Linked DNA regions of Arabidopsis thaliana. The protein of the gene in region 3 interacts with the protein of the main gene of each other region in a pairwise test. Each region holds a gene or a part of one and is shown on either strand. Other genes may lie near its edges. The genes, in order: CRY1, AT3G06590, CIB1 and IBH1.

What was found.
Region 1: the proteins of CIB1 (region 3) and CRY1 interact in a two-hybrid assay, tested with the Arabidopsis thaliana proteins (one study listed by BioGRID).
Region 2: the proteins of CIB1 (region 3) and AT3G06590 interact in binary tests that used the Arabidopsis thaliana proteins (3 or more experiments, as listed by UniProt).
Region 4: the proteins of CIB1 (region 3) and IBH1 interact in binary tests that used the Arabidopsis thaliana proteins (3 or more experiments, as listed by UniProt).

Annotation. Positions count from the first base shown.
Region 1 is NC_003075.7:5,721,708-5,727,796, forward strand, and holds CRY1 (cryptochrome 1), read left to right. Parts: upstream 1-1,943; 5' UTR 1,944-2,552; coding exon 2,553-2,886; intron 2,887-3,053; coding exon 3,054-3,272; intron 3,273-3,355; coding exon 3,356-4,844; intron 4,845-5,194; coding exon 5,195-5,198; 3' UTR 5,199-5,561; downstream 5,562-6,089.
Region 2 is NC_003074.8:2,052,234-2,057,456, reverse strand, and holds AT3G06590 (basic helix-loop-helix (bHLH) DNA-binding superfamily protein), read left to right. Parts: upstream 1-1,790; 5' UTR 1,791-2,144; coding exon 2,145-2,810; 3' UTR 2,811-2,814; exon of another isoform or gene 2,815-3,768; 3' UTR 3,769-4,378; exon of another isoform or gene 4,379-4,457; 3' UTR 4,458-4,710; downstream 4,711-5,223. UniProt on the Arabidopsis thaliana protein: bHLH transcription factor that binds DNA on specific sequence 5'-CANNTG-3' in target gene promoters. Negatively regulates brassinosteroid signaling.
Region 3 is NC_003075.7:16,496,823-16,500,709, forward strand, and holds CIB1 (cryptochrome-interacting basic-helix-loop-helix 1), read left to right. Parts: upstream 1-1,568; 5' UTR 1,569-1,643; coding exon 1,644-1,946; intron 1,947-2,049; coding exon 2,050-2,310; intron 2,311-2,397; coding exon 2,398-2,532; intron 2,533-2,625; coding exon 2,626-2,697; intron 2,698-2,791; coding exon 2,792-2,962; intron 2,963-3,058; coding exon 3,059-3,124; 3' UTR 3,125-3,352; downstream 3,353-3,887. Other genes in the region: AT4G34540 (NmrA-like negative transcriptional regulator family protein), read left to right, coding at 3,684-3,860. UniProt on the Arabidopsis thaliana protein: Transcription factor that binds DNA to G box 5'-CACGTG-3' and, to a lower extent, to E-box 5'-CANNTG-3' in vitro. Binds to chromatin DNA of the FT gene and promotes its expression, and thus triggers flowering in response to blue light.
Region 4 is NC_003071.7:17,906,996-17,910,733, reverse strand, and holds IBH1 (ILI1 binding bHLH 1), read right to left. Parts: upstream 1,728-3,738; 5' UTR 1,488-1,727; coding exon 1,017-1,487; 3' UTR 524-1,016; downstream 1-523.

The DNA.
Region 1 (6,089 bases), about 11 Mb from region 3:
TTCACTAGTAATAAAGCAGAAGTTTTCTAATTTATTATATCCATATATAACTTTACTGTCATTATGGTACTCTTCTATGTTAGATTGTATATATTATAATGAATCAATTACGGATTTGCCATTCTCTTAATTGTATTTATGAATTTTTCCTTTTTGAATAGTTTGTAAATTTTGCCCTTTTTGAGGTTACAAAAATGTGATTTAAGATGCGTTTTACTCGTTATATTTAGGTTTAGTCTTTGGTATAAGTATGTATTTTAAAAAAACGTAACGAGGTACATTTTTAAGTGTTAAAAATAATAAATCCGTAAGATTTTAGGAAAAATATCATTTTCACAAGATTTTTATAAAAAAGGCAAAATCAATAATAATCTCTATTATTTTTTGTACATACATATAATAAAATAATAAGCTCTTTCTAGCTATATTATGAATACTCCTACGAGCAATAAAATAATAAAAGGCACGTTATTTACACTCGAAAACAAGCTAATTTAGAGGTGGTCGAGAGCAGATATCATGATTGTTTTTTTTAATGTATGTAATCCGTTCATTTGTGTCATCATTATTCATTTTTATATTATTTATCCGCTTTGTTAAATATATTTTGTCTGATGTGAATTAATTGTTGAGCGGTAAACCAATCATGAAGTTATCTTTAAATTAATGTGTTATTGATAAAAAAAAAAGTAAATTAGTTGTAAATTTTTTTTTTCGTCAATTTGTTGTATACTTAATCTGATGAATATTTATGATTTTCAGAAATGTATGTTTGTATCTTCTAATTTTTACCCACAAAATTCAATGTCCTACGCATATGATGGAATTTAACCAAATACAAGTAGCTAGTTAGTGATTCTGATTTGTTATTTTTTTTTATGTAGGTCTAAGTTATAAATCAATTTTCTTCGAACCTAAAATATATTTTTAACCAGCTCTCAGTATCATGTTTAAAGCTATTAAAAAATTTAAGTAGACGATTCGACAACTACGCTCACCCTAAAAAAATAATCAGATGAAAAAAATCTAAATCTAAACTATCAAACATATTAAAAACAATTATGAAGACTATTCGACAACTACGCTCACTATAAAAATTAATCAGAAGAGAAAAATGTAGATCTAAACTATCAAACATATATGTGATGGAATTAAAATTGGGTAAAGCCGTAAAAGAGGTTTCATAATTTTGGATTAGTGATTTGGTAACTTAAATTGACTTGTCAAGGGAGTCTTAACTCTATCATGAATCAAGATAAACACTCTCCACACCAAAAACAATATATATATATATATATATATAGATAACATAAAAAGTCCTAAAATATGTTAAAAGGCAAGGAGGGCCAACCATATCCATCTCTCGCCCACTTTTGCTAATATGTCACTCTCTCTCATATCCTAACCTTCCAATAACATTTCAGAACCATCCTCGGTACATCATTTATATGATTTCTCTATTATCCTTAATAATCAACTTTAAAAAAATAAAAGAATAAAATTAAGATATCATTTGTTTTACCAGATAAACCGATCCGATTCAAACTAAACCATATTGATATTTATAATCCAAAAACCTCAAATCCAAAACTATACCAAATCATTTATTATATCATTTTATTTTATCTGAATATACCATTTTTCATAACACAGAAATTTTAAAAACCTAAACGAAAATCGAAACGAATCAGAACCGAAATCCGAATTGAACCATTTGATAATTAACCAATAATCGTCCCACTAAAATCCAAGTGTATAAAAAATCAGTTTAATATTTATATGTAGAATATGTTCTAGAGAATTATAGTATAAGATTCTACATTTTTTTTTTTTTTTTGAACAAAGAAAAAAGGAGAAATTTTAGGGAAAGGAGTAGAAATCTTGTGAGTCACAGTTGATTTGGTTCAACTGGATTGGGATAATATTTCAAGTGGAAAGAAATAAATAAAAGTTGTGGTGGAAAATTATTCCAATAAATCTCGTCGTGTGAATTGAATCATTATTCCTAGTGTCAATCTTCTTCACCTCTCTCTATCAACCTCCAATTTCTTCTTCTTCTTTTTTTTTAGATAACTTATTTTTATTTTATTTTTCTTTGATTTTTCACTTTAAGACAAAAATAATAATTTTATATTTCTACCAAAAATAAATAATAATTATAATTTAATAAGAGATAAATATTTTTTCAAACTGTAACCTAAACAATAAATAAATTAAAAGAGAAATTAATGCAAATATTGCTATATTTTTGGGTTATTACTTAGAGACTACTTTGTCCAAAATTAGGAAAAATCTTTTTGGGTGAATAATTCCCAAAAGTATAGTTGCATTTTGCCAGAGAGGCACTCAGAGAGAGAGAGAGATATTCGTAAAGATAAGCTTTTTTTTTTTTTTTGCCTTCTCATCAAAAATCTTTTTTTTTTTGTTGTCTTTCTTCTCGAGAGAGATAAGTGACCAAAGGGTTTCGATTTCTGGAAATAGTTTGAATAAAAAAGTAATTTTTATGTGATTATTGGCAAAGAAAAGTTTTAGTTTTTTTTAGTTTGTGAGAGATGTCTGGTTCTGTATCTGGTTGTGGTTCTGGTGGTTGTAGTATTGTATGGTTTAGAAGAGATCTTAGGGTTGAAGATAATCCAGCTTTAGCAGCAGCAGTAAGAGCTGGTCCAGTGATTGCTCTGTTTGTTTGGGCACCAGAAGAAGAAGGACACTATCATCCAGGTAGGGTTTCTAGGTGGTGGCTCAAGAACAGTTTGGCTCAGCTTGATTCTTCTCTTAGAAGTCTTGGTACTTGTCTTATCACCAAGAGATCTACTGATAGTGTTGCTTCTCTTCTTGATGTTGTTAAATCCACTGGTGCTTCTCAGATCTTCTTCAACCATTTGTATGGTCTGTTGTTCCTCTTCTCTTCTCTCTTTATCTTATCTTTGAATTTGCATGATAAAAAGATTTGATTTTTGTGATTGGAATCATCTTTTCTCTTATGGGTTATGTTTTGTTTGATGTATTTGTGGAATAAGATGATCTGGAAATGATAAAGTTTTGATCTTTTTCAGATCCATTGTCTTTGGTGCGTGATCACCGAGCTAAAGATGTTTTGACGGCGCAAGGCATAGCGGTTCGATCATTCAACGCAGACTTGCTTTATGAGCCATGGGAAGTGACTGATGAATTAGGCCGTCCTTTCTCTATGTTTGCTGCGTTTTGGGAGAGATGTCTTAGTATGCCTTATGACCCTGAGTCTCCTCTTCTTCCACCTAAGAAGATCATTTCAGGTTTGTTTCTTTGCCACTCTCTCTTGTGGGTTTTCGTTTTTTCCAAATCTGTATCATTCAATAATGTTTCTTTTATGTTGCAGGGGATGTGTCTAAATGTGTTGCGGATCCATTGGTGTTTGAGGATGACTCTGAGAAAGGAAGCAATGCACTTCTGGCTCGTGCTTGGTCTCCTGGATGGAGTAATGGTGATAAAGCTCTCACAACGTTTATAAACGGTCCATTGCTTGAATACTCTAAGAACCGCAGAAAAGCCGATAGTGCTACAACCTCGTTTCTTTCTCCACACTTGCATTTTGGGGAAGTGAGTGTGAGAAAAGTTTTTCATCTTGTTCGGATCAAACAGGTCGCGTGGGCAAACGAAGGAAACGAGGCCGGGGAAGAAAGCGTGAATCTTTTCCTGAAATCTATTGGTCTCAGGGAGTATTCTAGGTACATAAGTTTTAACCATCCATATTCCCATGAAAGACCACTTCTTGGCCATCTAAAGTTCTTCCCTTGGGCTGTGGATGAGAACTATTTCAAGGCATGGAGGCAAGGCCGGACTGGATATCCGTTGGTCGATGCCGGGATGAGAGAGTTATGGGCTACTGGTTGGTTGCATGATCGCATAAGAGTAGTTGTTTCAAGCTTCTTTGTTAAAGTGCTTCAATTACCATGGAGATGGGGGATGAAGTATTTCTGGGACACACTTCTTGATGCGGATTTAGAAAGCGATGCTCTTGGTTGGCAATACATTACCGGTACTCTCCCGGATAGCCGGGAGTTTGATCGCATAGATAACCCTCAGTTTGAAGGGTACAAGTTTGATCCAAATGGTGAATACGTAAGGCGATGGCTTCCTGAACTCTCTAGACTCCCGACAGACTGGATACATCATCCGTGGAACGCACCTGAGTCCGTTCTTCAAGCTGCTGGTATCGAGCTTGGATCAAACTATCCTCTACCAATTGTAGGATTAGACGAAGCAAAAGCACGGCTTCATGAAGCGCTTTCACAGATGTGGCAACTAGAAGCTGCTTCAAGAGCTGCAATAGAGAACGGATCCGAAGAAGGACTTGGAGATTCTGCTGAGGTAGAGGAAGCTCCTATAGAGTTCCCAAGGGACATTACAATGGAAGAGACTGAACCAACCAGACTCAACCCAAACAGGAGATATGAGGATCAGATGGTTCCAAGCATTACTTCTTCTTTGATCAGACCTGAAGAAGACGAAGAGTCGTCTCTTAATTTGAGAAATTCAGTAGGAGATAGCAGAGCAGAGGTTCCAAGGAACATGGTTAACACCAACCAAGCTCAGCAGCGGAGAGCAGAACCGGCTTCAAACCAAGTCACTGCTATGATTCCAGAATTTAATATCAGAATTGTTGCAGAGAGCACTGAAGACTCAACAGCGGAATCTTCCAGCAGCGGAAGGAGAGAAAGAAGCGGAGGCATAGTCCCCGAGTGGTCTCCAGGGTACTCAGAGCAGTTCCCTAGTGAAGAAAATGGTATTGGAGGAGGAAGTACAACGTCTAGCTACTTGCAGAATCACCATGAAATACTGAACTGGAGACGGCTTTCACAAACCGGGTATGTAACTCGCAAATCCGACTCTCTCAACAATAAGTTCACATAAAGATTCTAAACATTTTCAAATTGAAAGTCTCCAAATTTTCAGTAAGTTTCAATCTTCCTACACAATTCAAATAAATCGTCGATGCGCGTTGTGCTTGGCACACTTGTCTAGCCAAGTAGTATCAGTTTTAAATTGAATTTAGCTGAAAAGTTTTGAACTGTTTTCAAATCCAAGTGTTTGCATTTACAGTAGACCACAGTAAAAAAATTAGTGAAAGTTTCTATGTTTCACAGTTCAATTGGAATTTGGTACATTGGTCTAACCAAGTGGCATGAAATTTACTGTGGTATGTTTGGTTTTACAGGTAAAAAGTGCATTTGGAGGTGCAAAAGGAGAGGAACATCATAAGGGCTGTAACTCCGGTGAAATCTGGTTGGACTGTAAACCGAGTACATTTGGTACGGTTTAATGTAATTCCGGTTATGGGGCTGGAGAGAAACTATGTAGGAGTTTGTCTGATGTACATTTTTTATTTATCTCTGGTTCCATCATGTTATAATACACTGTATAGTAAGTAGTCTGTTGCTTGTGGTATTAGACCAGGTCTCATACTTGTTGGCTTTCAAAGTTTTGGTTATAAGTCAAACAGATGCCAATTCTTAATCTTATAAACATATATAGTTCACATTTATTTATGATAAATGACTTGTTAGTGTATATGAAACACGTACGTCTACTTCCATATAACGAGAATCCGAATAGGTATGTATACTGATAGTAGCCTTCGACGTCACGAGCTTCCCACAAAATCTCGTGCTGATTAGAAACTAGACAAGACCACGATCTCAGTTATAATCTCTGCTGGGCCTAATTCGCGTCTGAAAAAACGTGTCTCACGAAACTGTGAATAACTTAATGAGCTTAAATCCAAAACAACTTCTATAAAATGGAAAACGACGATGAAAGACTTCGAAATAACTCTACCAAATTTCGTTACCTTTGACAACGATTTGATATGTTGAAACTGTTTCTTCCCCAATCCTAACGATTTTGATCCTTCTCCTTCTCTCTCTTTTTCTCTTTTACAGAACGAAAAATGACTAACCAAAGCTCTAATTCGAGTTTCCTTCTTTTATAGGTACACTCTAGGGTTTCCATTAACCCAACCGATTAAACCGGGTGATTTAAACACAAACCATAACCGATTTTCCGGTTTACGGGCTTTACACAAGAACTATTCCTTAATGATCTCTTATGAT
Region 2 (5,223 bases), on a different chromosome or scaffold from region 3:
TGCCACCTTCATCATACTTAATAGTTAGTTTTCCTTTCCTTATCAACTTTTTTCATTAATATAATAAGAAAAAACTCATTACATCCGAGATACATAATGATTTGCAAATAAATTTGAAAACCTTAGATAGCTGGAATTATGATTTACAGTAGTAAATTTTCATAGTAACAAATTTGAACTTCCAATCCGAAATATATTTATTTCTATTAATGGAAGATAACAATTACAGCCAGCAACCTTTGTGATACATGTTTTTTTTGTTGTTGTTGTTGAAGTAGAGCCCATGAGAATTACGCAAATCGCAGATTCGAATAGTGGTTTCTTTGACTCAGTTCGTAAAACAGATAATTCATTAGGTTGCTTTGTTCTTCACCAACAAATTTTCTGCTTGATTCTAAAGTATAAATTGAGAAAATTTAAGTATCTAAATCGAAAATATATTCTTAAATTCGAAGTAGATAAACTATTTTATTGTAAGTGACACTTTAGTGAATAATTGGATATGTTGTTTCTTATCATTAATTTGTCATGTGGAATCATTCTAGCTTATAACTTTCTAAGGTACAGAGAATATGCCACGTTACTGACACAATTATTAACCCTTAGCCCTTAGGTTAAATGAATACTATTATCTATGAAGCATTGCGCATTGCGCTCTGTTTCTAACATCCTTTCCACCCGCCTAAAAACATCTTAATACAGTATATATACCATTGTGGTACTTTTATGTCTAACATAAACTAAGATAGGTATTTTCCATTTTAACTGCTGATCAAACTCAACATAGTGAACAGTACAAACAAAAATCAAACTAACAGTAACTTTTCTAGAAAATTAGTTTGAACGTAGCTAGCTTTATTTATATATGAATTAACCCAATGGAGAAGTTCAGAAGCTCCTTTTTTCAGCAGGATATATGAATAAAATGACGCCACTCCCTTATACTTTACCCAACAATCTATTAATCTTATATCTACTTATACATATACACAAAATTTAATGAAATTTTATTCATACATATTGATAGATACACATACAAAACTTTTTTTTGATAAAATACAGGAGTTAATTTCAGTGATCTTTTCTTTACAGGGAAAGAAAAAAAAGCCGTAAAGAGAGGCAGTGCCACTAACCCTACATCGCACATGCATTTCGTTTGGTATATTACTTTATGCGTAAAGTAGTATTTTAAATACAATTCCAATATTTACGAAATCATTGCACTGAATACAAAATCCAAAGTTTTGAGTTTTTGGCCCCTCTCTTTTTGCCCTGTCAGTCCATTAAACGACCACTATAAGTCGTAAATGGATTTCTCCAATAGTAATATGACACGTCATCCTTTCGTTTGAATCTACCTTCCTCCTCCATTCCACCAAAGTATCGGCCTTTATACAAGTTTGTTTGTTTTCTCTTTTCGTAAACATCTTTAGATATCAATAAGCTAATTTAGTAATTAAGATTGTACCCTAAATTGATTGGAAACTATCGTTATGGATGCTCTACCCACATTAGGATCTTTGTAGCATTTCTATTATGTATTTTACTCTCTATTTAGATTATGTCTACAAAAGATCGAAAACTCGTGATTGTAAGAAATTTTGTATATAAATTTCTTTCTAAAATCTCTGTCAAGAGGGTAAGTTTAAAAAAATAATTGTGAACTAATCAACGTGGAACAAAACTTTTTAAGTATAATCATAATTCATAAACATTGCTTCAAGTCACAATGATGTCTCTGTCTCTCATTATTCCAAAACCATTAGAGGTTATAGAGCCAGTTAATTATAACTTATCAATTCCACTAGTGTTGAGAATGAAATTATTTGTTTCTTGGTGGTATTCACGAATTCTCTTTATCATGCATTACAAATGCCACTTTCGTATCTGGCTAAAACAACAAATACTAAAAAACAAATTGACAAAACGACGCCGCTTATTAACTGCTACATCTAAAACGGGGCCGTTTGTTAACTGCTACGTCTCGTGATAGTTGATACCTCTCTCCCTTTATATATCTTCCTCTTCTTCTCCCTTCCATTATTCTCCACAATTTCATAACTTTCTTCCGCTCAACTTCAGATAAATTCGGATTCTGTAGCTCTTTCAATACGACTGCGGAGATCAGAGCCAATTATTTGGTTATGGCGTCTCTGATCTCAGATATTGAACCGCCGACGAGTACTACTTCAGATCTCGTTCGGAGAAAGAAGAGATCCTCTGCTTCATCCGCCGCATCGTCTCGTTCAAGCGCATCTTCCGTCTCCGGTGAGATTCACGCGCGATGGCGATCGGAGAAGCAACAACGGATCTACTCAGCCAAACTGTTCCAAGCGCTCCAACAAGTCCGCCTCAACTCTTCCGCCTCAACATCATCATCTCCAACGGCTCAGAAACGAGGAAAGGCCGTCCGTGAAGCCGCCGATCGAGCTCTTGCCGTTTCCGCTCGGGGAAGAACACTCTGGAGCAGAGCGATCTTAGCTAATCGGATCAAACTGAAATTTCGTAAACAGAGACGTCCTCGAGCTACGATGGCGATTCCGGCCATGACTACGGTGGTTAGTAGCAGCAGCAACAGATCGAGAAAACGGAGAGTGTCGGTGTTGAGATTGAATAAGAAGAGTATACCGGATGTTAACCGGAAAGTACGTGTTCTAGGCCGGTTAGTTCCCGGTTGCGGTAAACAATCCGTACCGGTGATTCTAGAAGAAGCAACTGATTATATTCAGGCTCTGGAGATGCAAGTGAGAGCCATGAACTCTTTAGTTCAGCTTCTCTCCTCCTACGGCTCAGCTCCTCCACCGATTTGATGAGGTTAAAATCGTCTTTTTAATTCTACCATCTCTCGATCTTTCACAGCTTATGTGTATATAGAAGATTCGGTTTGATTATAATCTGTAACTACTCTTCCCAACCGCTGATTCTTCTCTGCTACAAGTAAAAGTAAATTTTGAACCGAGTCTTCCCATTTTTACGATCCTCAAGTCTAAATTAAGTATATGATTGATTAATAAAGTCTTTACCATTAGGGTTCAAATCGTAGTTGGATTATTTGATTTAGATTGATGAATTCGTTGTTGATCAAAAAAAAAATAAGATTGATGAATTCGTTATTGGAGTTAGTGGGAAAATGGGTTCCTCTTTTAACCTCATAGTATGTGATAACTAAACCAATATGGAACTTTTGATGTACTTTTAGTTCATTCAATATGGCTTTGTACTATATCATCTTATGTACTATATGAAATTTCAACATGAAATAGATTTGTACTGCAATAAAGTGGAAAGAAAATAATTTCCCATTTAGAATTTTAAAATACATTATAGTAGATGTAGGAAGATAATGGGTTAACTTTAGTTTTGATTATGGTAGCATGTGATGATGCATTAGAGAATGAATGGAATGATACATTCAAATTCATTGAATTGAATGATGACTGATGAGATTGATCTGTCACTCAATCATCTACTCGCTTTATTGCCCCTCCTTTGAATCCCATTTTTGATACTTATAGGTTGTTTGTCTTCTTTTTCTTTTCTTTTCCTTATTTCACAAGAAATATAAAGGAAAAAAAGAAGAAAAAAGATTAAATTAGCTAATAATTCCCTGTTACTAAATAAGTTTTCTCAAACACTAATCTGCAGTTCTGCACGTACTGTATATCCTTCAATATTCATCACGAAGCAAAACTGAATAACCTGTAGTTAAAATTGACTTAACAGGAGTTTGATTCATTAGCTTAATTAATATACGAATTTCTGTGATAGGGATATGATTTAAGAACACTGGAGTATGACTAGGCGACAACAAGAGACAAGTGACGACAAAAGCAAAAAATATTTAAAACATAGAGAGAAGTGACCTTAAAAGTATGAGGAGGCACATGGGAGTGGCCATGCCTTTGTCCTCTTGTTTCTTTTTAAGCCTTCTCTTATTAACTTGCACGACAACTCTTTTCATCACATATTTCATAAGTTATATTATTATTGCCAAAAGGGACAAACTATTAGAGAAAATAAACCGCAACATTGTAGAAGATTGGATTAAAACTCGCCAACACACTATTAGAGAAACTTGCCCAGATAAAATTATGTCCATGTCGAACACAGTTATAACCAAGGAGCCTAATTCCCAAAAAATGATTTTTATATTTGGAAACCATCCATTGCAGATACTCCTGGAGGTTTCTCCTAGTCTTCAGTGCCGAAGATTTCACGACAAAAGAAGACTTGAAAATCTCGATACTCTTTTGCGGAACTTTCCCACCGCGACACAAAGAGATCACTCCACAGAGATATGAGGCAGCTTTGAGTCCTTTAGACGCGGCTTTTGCAAACATTCGATCCCTTTCTCTTCATCAACAATATTACTGAATAGGTAAAAGCACTTCACAATTCCTTCACGAGCCACTGCTTCCGTGTTTCCGCTCTCTCTGCATCTCTTGAGAAAACTCTAGCTTTAGTTATAGGTCATCGTTTGCGGTTTTGATTTCGTCGAGGCAGACGTGTTCGAGAACTTGAGGGTCGTTGCAGAGATTATGTAATGATTTGCATACGAGGCTGAAGTTGAACAAGCTTGAGTGAAGAAAGAGCCACGCGTGGCAAGATCTCCTTCACAACCACTTCTTCTGGGAGAGACTCCATTTTATAGTGATTTGAGAAATGATATTTTAATTTAGGGTTTCAACTTAGACGTTTGCTTATTAAATTGTGTGAATAAATAAATATATATATATATATATATATATATATATATATATATATCATTAATAAATAAATAAACGATAAGAGTAACCTTAAAAATCTAGTTGAACCCTAAACCCTATGGCTAATATATACAATGTAATATATTATTCCTCTAATCATCTTTTAGAAATTTTTTATTATTTTTAATTTACACATAAATCAATATCTTTTTCAGATATAGTTTTATCTACATTGTATGTAATACCTCCATGTTGCTACACGTTAACACTTGCATATTTGTTACTCAATCTAATTAAGCAGGAATTAAAAACAACGGTTAACCGGAAAACTTTTACTATTTATCCATTCAGTATTATCTTATAGCTCAAATTACTTTTAGTTTTTACATATAGGATATAACTCTCACACACGTAAAATACGATTAAATTTAAATTCAAACTAGGACACTTATCTAATCTAGTGTTATCTGAATTCATAGAGTGTTAGAAGAATTAGGAAACGTTTTTTAATCAATAA
Region 3 (3,887 bases):
TGCATATATCGAGAATAACCCATCATATAGGAATTAGGCTCCCATCATGTGATCATGATTCATGAGTCATGACCATTGGATCTCCCCTCATTATTGTTCCATCAGAAATTTCTACGTCGATGATATGTTTCTAATTCTAATTTTTTTTACAGCAATTTCTAATTCTAATTAAGAACTCTCCCATATACAAATTGATATAGATATCTTTTAGTAAGTTAGTAACAACACTTAATTAAACATAGATAAATATACGTGCACAGATCAATTCTCCAGTTTAAGGAAAGAAATTGGATAGATGTATTTAAATACTTTTGTATAAATAATATAACTATCTCCAATACAACACACCGAATCAAATGTCAACATCTACATACATGTCGACATGAATTTATGAACATATATGTACAAGGTGATGGGGAACCCACAAATTAGGTGTGTGGCTTTACTTTTTTTAGTGTATGCATGTATAGTATGATAGGGAGGGAAATAGCTGATCATCATCTTCTATGGACTTAGTCCAAATTCATCACATCAAAAGGCAACGACCATGTCTTTGTTTCTAACAACTTTACACCCTCCCCTTTCCTTATCTACTAACTCCATGTATCTGCTTTAAAGGTTAATATATAACTGGACTAAGCAAAATAAAAGAGAGTTGGGTTTTCATTATAGAATCGAGAAGATTTCATGTCCCTATATCAATCACATAAAGCGTTTTCCAATAACATAAAAAGTCGGATAAATGAAAATATTTGAGAATCTAAAACAATGTCATATATACTTTAATGGAAGGTCCTTTTCTTCGAAATATTTGCTCACCGAAATCGGTGAAAGTGATCTAAGACTAAAACTAACTTGTGAGTAATTCATGTGATGGGCCTTCTGCATCGAAAAAGAGCATGGCGATCACGTGGCAGCCTCTCTTGCGCCGTCTCAGTATTAGCCTATCACGATAGAGTAAGCCAATGTATACAGCATGGCGATCAGACACATGATGATGATCGATCTGAATAACAAGATTCCGAAGGATGTAATAAATTCATGTGAACAGTGCTTCGTAGCTAAACTAAGACCAGAGCTATTGAAATGAGGTAAAGTGTTTTCTTTGTAACCCCATTTTAATTAGGTGAAATATCTAGCGCACACACCAATCTGATTCATATAATCATAACTAGCTTGTAAACTACAAAATTATTTTTCATTGTGTTACAACTAGACCATTCCCACGTGACCATTCACGTGCTCCTATAATGAAAGAAACCTAAAGAAGAGACGCTCCAATTCGCATAGACATCCCAAGCTTATCCTTTCTTAGTGAATCAAGATCCAATTTACACTATAATACATGCATATATTACGTAATAAATGTTTTATAAGTTTTCTGTGTCACTCACTATTTTTAGTTATTTTCTCAATTTTCAATCATCGCAAATATCAATTATCACAAAACATATAAAGTTTCCAGATTTGTATATGGGCCTACCTTATTAGATGCGATGAATATGGACTAAGTACAGAGCTGATGGTTTTTGTTATAAATATCGTTTCCTCTTCTACCCTCACCTTTACTCTGTTTCTTTCTCCACTCTCTCTCTCTCTCGTTGCAAGCAACTTGTTTTCTGAATCCAAAGAAGACGATAACGATGAATGGAGCTATAGGAGGTGACCTTTTGCTCAATTTTCCTGACATGTCGGTCCTAGAGCGCCAAAGGGCTCACCTCAAGTACCTCAATCCCACCTTTGATTCTCCTCTCGCCGGCTTCTTTGCCGATTCTTCAATGATTACCGGCGGCGAGATGGACAGCTATCTTTCGACTGCCGGTTTGAATCTTCCGATGATGTACGGTGAGACGACGGTGGAAGGTGATTCAAGACTCTCAATTTCGCCGGAAACGACGCTTGGGACTGGAAATTTCAAGAAACGGAAGTTTGATACAGAGACTAAGGTTCGTGTGTAAAGAAAACTTAAGTTTAAGTTCTATAAATGAAAAAGAAAACAGATCTTACTTTGAGATTTGGCTTATCTGTTTCTTCTGTGTGTGCTTTTAGGATTGTAATGAGAAGAAGAAGAAGATGACGATGAACAGAGATGACCTAGTAGAAGAAGGAGAAGAAGAGAAGTCGAAAATAACAGAGCAAAACAATGGGAGCACAAAAAGCATCAAGAAGATGAAACACAAAGCCAAGAAAGAAGAGAACAATTTCTCTAATGATTCATCTAAAGTGACGAAGGAATTGGAGAAAACGGATTATATTCATGTTCGTGCACGACGAGGCCAAGCCACTGATAGTCACAGCATAGCAGAACGAGTAAGAGAGCCTCATTAACTAAAATTCATTAACTTTGTTTTTTGTGTAATCATTGAGACTAATTATTAAAGTATTAAATTTGTGAAGGTTAGAAGAGAAAAGATCAGTGAGAGAATGAAGTTTCTACAAGATTTGGTTCCTGGATGCGACAAGATCACAGGCAAAGCAGGGATGCTTGATGAAATCATTAACTATGTTCAGTCTCTTCAGAGACAAATCGAGGTCTGAAAATTATTTCCATTTATAGAAAATATGTTTTAAAGACTAATTTTGCATTACCTTCCTAATTTGTTATCAAAATATTGTTTAAAACAGTTCTTATCGATGAAACTAGCAATTGTGAATCCAAGGCCGGATTTTGATATGGATGACATTTTTGCCAAAGAGGTTAGTCATTGATTTGTTTATGCTTATATGAAAAACAAAACTTTAAAGGCTATTTATAGATGAGCTAAAATACGCCATGTGGATTCAAAACCAGGTTGCCTCAACTCCAATGACTGTGGTGCCATCTCCTGAAATGGTTCTTTCCGGTTATTCTCATGAGATGGTTCACTCTGGTTATTCTAGTGAGATGGTTAACTCCGGTTACCTTCATGTCAATCCAATGCAGCAAGTGAATACCAGTTCTGATCCATTGTCATGCTTCAACGTAAGTCATATTTTTAATACTCTTTCATTATGATCTATCCTTTAGTTTAACTTTGGATATGATAATTTTTTACTAAATATGTTTTGATTGTTACAGAATGGCGAAGCTCCTTCGATGTGGGACTCTCATGTGCAGAATCTCTATGGCAATTTAGGAGTTTGATTAAGAAACCAATCCACAACATAACAATGTTCCCTAATTCAAATTATTCATCGGAAGAGAGAGCAAACCAGTAGCTGTTATTTACTAATTCCACTAGATTATTGACTTGAGATCCCCCGCCCATTAGTTGATGTATCAAAGAGTGTAGACATTATTGTGTATAATTTGCAAACCAGTCCAGTAATATATTTCTTATCGGTGGACTTGTGTCTTTAATTCAAGGTGTGTTCTCATCTTCTTGTGGTGAATGATCATCCATTAGTATTTTTTTTTTTAGTATACAATGCCACAAGTCATGCGACCATGAAATCAAGAAACAAGACACCAGTCGTTTAACGTTATGTTTTACATCTTATCACTAACAATCTTCTAATCTATGTTTTGGTTACTTTGAAAAAGCGGGACTAATCCCAAATTTAAAGCAATTGAATAAACAACACCTGTTAAGCGTGGCGGACAAAACGACGACAATGTAAGAGAACTGAGTCAGAGATTAAAACCTATGACCAACCCATTGGAACTAAACTATCCTAATTCTCTATACGGAGAGTATATATAAATGGAGGAGGAGAAGAAGAAGAGCAGAGTTTTGATCATCGGAGCAACAGGAAGATTAGGGAACTATTTGACCCGTTTCAGCATCGAATCGGGTCACCCGACTTTCGCTCTCATCAGAAACACCACTCTCTCCGATAAGCTGAAATCTCTCTCCGACGCCGGCGTTACCCTCCTCAAAGTCTCTCTCTTTGCAATATCTCTGTAA
Region 4 (3,738 bases), on a different chromosome or scaffold from region 3:
ATTTGTCTGTTTACGTACACGTGTATAATAATTGACAAATTAAAGTAGGACACTCGTATGAAATATAAGTATGACCAACTGCATAAATAAGACGTGTAGATAATCCTTCCAACGGAAAATGTGATTATAAAGAAAACAAGTAATCAGAGTCTTGTAATTTTTGTTAATAATGTTGTTGTGAGCGACCATTTGAATTCAATCCGACATAAATCATGAAATGTTAGAGTTATACAAAAAAAAAAATCTCTCTTACCTGAAAAAAGAGTTATACAAAACAAAAAAGGAGTTAAATTATATATATTCTACAAAATTCTTTAACCTATATAATGTCAAGTATTTTTAAGACTTATTCAAGTAACTCCGTGTTAAACAAAAAAAAATCATTTAATTAAATGATTCATAATTCTATAAATATATATTTTTAAAATTATTAGATTTATCATATATTTTCTCAAAAACATAAACAGTCGTATATGTATAGGAGATATATAAATACAGAATGTATATTTTATGATAGTTATAATTCCGCTATAATTTTCTTATAACTAATATGTTATAACTTTATATATATAATCCATCCATAGAAACATCATTGACGAATAACACAATCAAGAGGAACCAAGTAAATTGCATAGCTTAAAAGAAAAGAAGAAAGAAAATTCTCTTAGCATATGATAAGTAATAAATCCCCTTTTATCATATGACAAGGGCAAGTTACCAAGCCCTAATGTTTAAACCGGCCATAGCATATGATAAATAATAAATCCCCTTTTATCAAAATTCAAGAAAAGAAAAAGAAAAAAATCTTTCGTTACTTCGAGACTAATACATATCCACACATTTCATATATGTATCCTATCTTACACGTATGTATATATATAAGAATATATATATATATATATATATATATATACACATATATATTCGTTATGATTACCCCAATCCAATAGACTATGTATGTGTCGTATCTCTATATACATCGATCATTGATGATGATGTTGATGATTAATTGATGATCATTTGGGAGATAAGCCATCAACGAGACACTGCATGACCTTGACCTGCATACTAAGGCACTTGATGTAATGAGCCGTCTCTTCCATCAGCTTTGACGTCTCCATTCCTCCGCCTCCCGGAACAAGATTCCTCAGCCTCTCCGCCGCCTCCTCCACCACCGGAGCTCTCTGGTTACTCCTCCTCCGTTTTGATGATATCTTCCACTTCCTCCTTGAAAATCTTACGATCTTGTTGTCATCTTTGTCTGCTCTACGCAAGAGGGCTCTGCTCCATAGCCGGCTACTCCCTCCGGCTGCTCTGGCCATGGAAACGTACGCAGCCTTCTTGATCTTCCTCACGCGGTAGTTTTTTTGGTCCGGAGTATCAAAAGGGTTTTGTTTTCTGAGATTTGAGAGGGATTGGAGGAAGTGGAAGGCAAAAACGTCCTTTTCAGGGACATCTGTGTTTATGAGTTTGTCTGCAGAGGCCATTGTTTGGGTTTTTTAGAGAAGAGAACTTGAGTTGAGAACCTTTATAAAACTTTTTTTTTTTTGAGAATGACACAATATTAGGGTTAATATAAATGGAAAGGTGGAGAGAGAGAGAGAGATAGAGAGGAATAAATAATGTTTATTTTTCCTTGTACTTAACTTTTCTTTATGTTTTTTTATGTCACAAGACACACAACTATTCAAATTCTCTATAAAGTTTAAATTTAAACTATAGGTTCAACTATTTATAACTCATGTTCTAAAAAAAAAAAGATGTGTTAATAGCTTTGAAATATTGAATTTTGGAGCTTAATTGGTCCGTCAAAGTTACGTTGCGTAAAAATATGAGAATATGAAGTTATAAGTGGCAGTTTTCTTCAATGGTGAACAGCAAATAAATACAGTTCTATGTTTAACTTTGGGGGTTTACTAATATTAGTTCAAATTTTTTGTAGATTCGTCTGTTATGGTTTAGTGGTTTGACATCGATTGCTTACTGGTGGCTACTTAGATGTGTAAATATATCATTATGTGTTAGAATTTTAAAATGAAATGTGAATTGTATAACCCATGTATTTCGGAAAAGTATAATTTACACCTAGTGTTATAAAGTCTTGAATAAATAAATGGGCAATTAGTGGAAAACGATGTTTTGGAGCTTGAAGAAAAAAGTTGATGCCAATAGATTAACAGAACTTGGCTATTTTGGGTATATATATTTGACTATTTTGAAATTTGAAATATTAATGTATACTACACCCAAATACAATATATATAGCATTAATGCTCGTATACATCTTAGCTAAAACAAAATAATAATTCGGATGATGTTTAAGTACTAGACGCAAATTAATCAAGCTCGTTTGGTTCATAGCTTGGTATTAACGGAAAAAAGAGCAATTTAGAGCAGACATCAGATTATGGAATTAGATTCCAACCACACTATTATGTTTATTTGTTTGTTTTTATAAAAGGTTAATTTAGTGACGAATGCGTATGAATTCATTAACGTGAACAGCTAATAGAGACTATTATGATAAAATTAGGTAAGCTATATACATATATGTATGTATTTATGTTAACATTAGTTGACAACTAATGACGATTAAGATGGAATATGATCGATTGTGGAAAACATATAAGCTCATTTTCAAGGCAAAAGAAATAACAAAACCCAAAATATCAATTTAATTGATTCATTACTTGCTCGATATTTACTTCCACAAACAAAATTCAGCCAAAATCCAACTCTCGTGAAACGACTGATTGAGGATGTTTATTCGAAACTGAGTTTGAACTATACGTTAGTTTAGAAAGTAACACCATTGAACCTGAGAATAACTATGATTATTTCGACGATATAAAGTGTTAATAAACTTAATCAATTAGCCACTCGCATCATCAAGATAAAACGTGTTTAAAATTGATCAGATATATAACAAAGTATTCACCATGCAAGAGAGCAACAACAAAATATGAGATTATTCAATTGGCTTGACCAATAGATGACGTTACAATTTATATACACCAAATATTACTAACCAATTTAGAAAAGACAACACATGAAAATATAAAAGAAGAGAAGAGAGACTTGAGGAATACGATAAGTGTTTGGTTAAGGCTATAATTTAGCATTAGTCCCATCTCTTTTGTGTTAATCACTCTCTCCCCTACCGCTTTGCCGCCGGACGTATTTTTCACGCCATTTAATTCTTTTGTATAACATCATCATGATCATATTTATCTTTTTTCAAGATTCAGCTCCAAAATCCCTTAAATCTCACTGTTTTCTCTAAGGTTTCAAATTTCACATCTATCATAAAAATACGTTTAAAGATTAACAATTTCGGGTCAATAACAATTTACAAAATTGTTGATATTAGGAGTGAAACCAAATGAATAAGAAGGTGTTAATCATATAATAAGAACTAAAAAAGAGTTGAAGAAGTGGTAGAGTAGGTCCACTAATGGGCCAACCACCACATGAAGGCACATGGCTATGGCCTTTACCCACCTCCACTTTCCTTTCTCTCTTATCTTTATCTTTAATTTTTTTTTGTTCTAATTATTCAATTAATATTAACTACACCATTCGTTTTCTTTGATTCTCTTCTTAATTTAATAATAAGTCGTTGGGGGCGAATAAACTTTATCATACTAGTTGATTAAAATATCCCAACTAAAAATGTAAAACAAAAACAAAAGAATAAATGCTATTGGTCATTTAGTAATAATGATTTACAAAATGTTG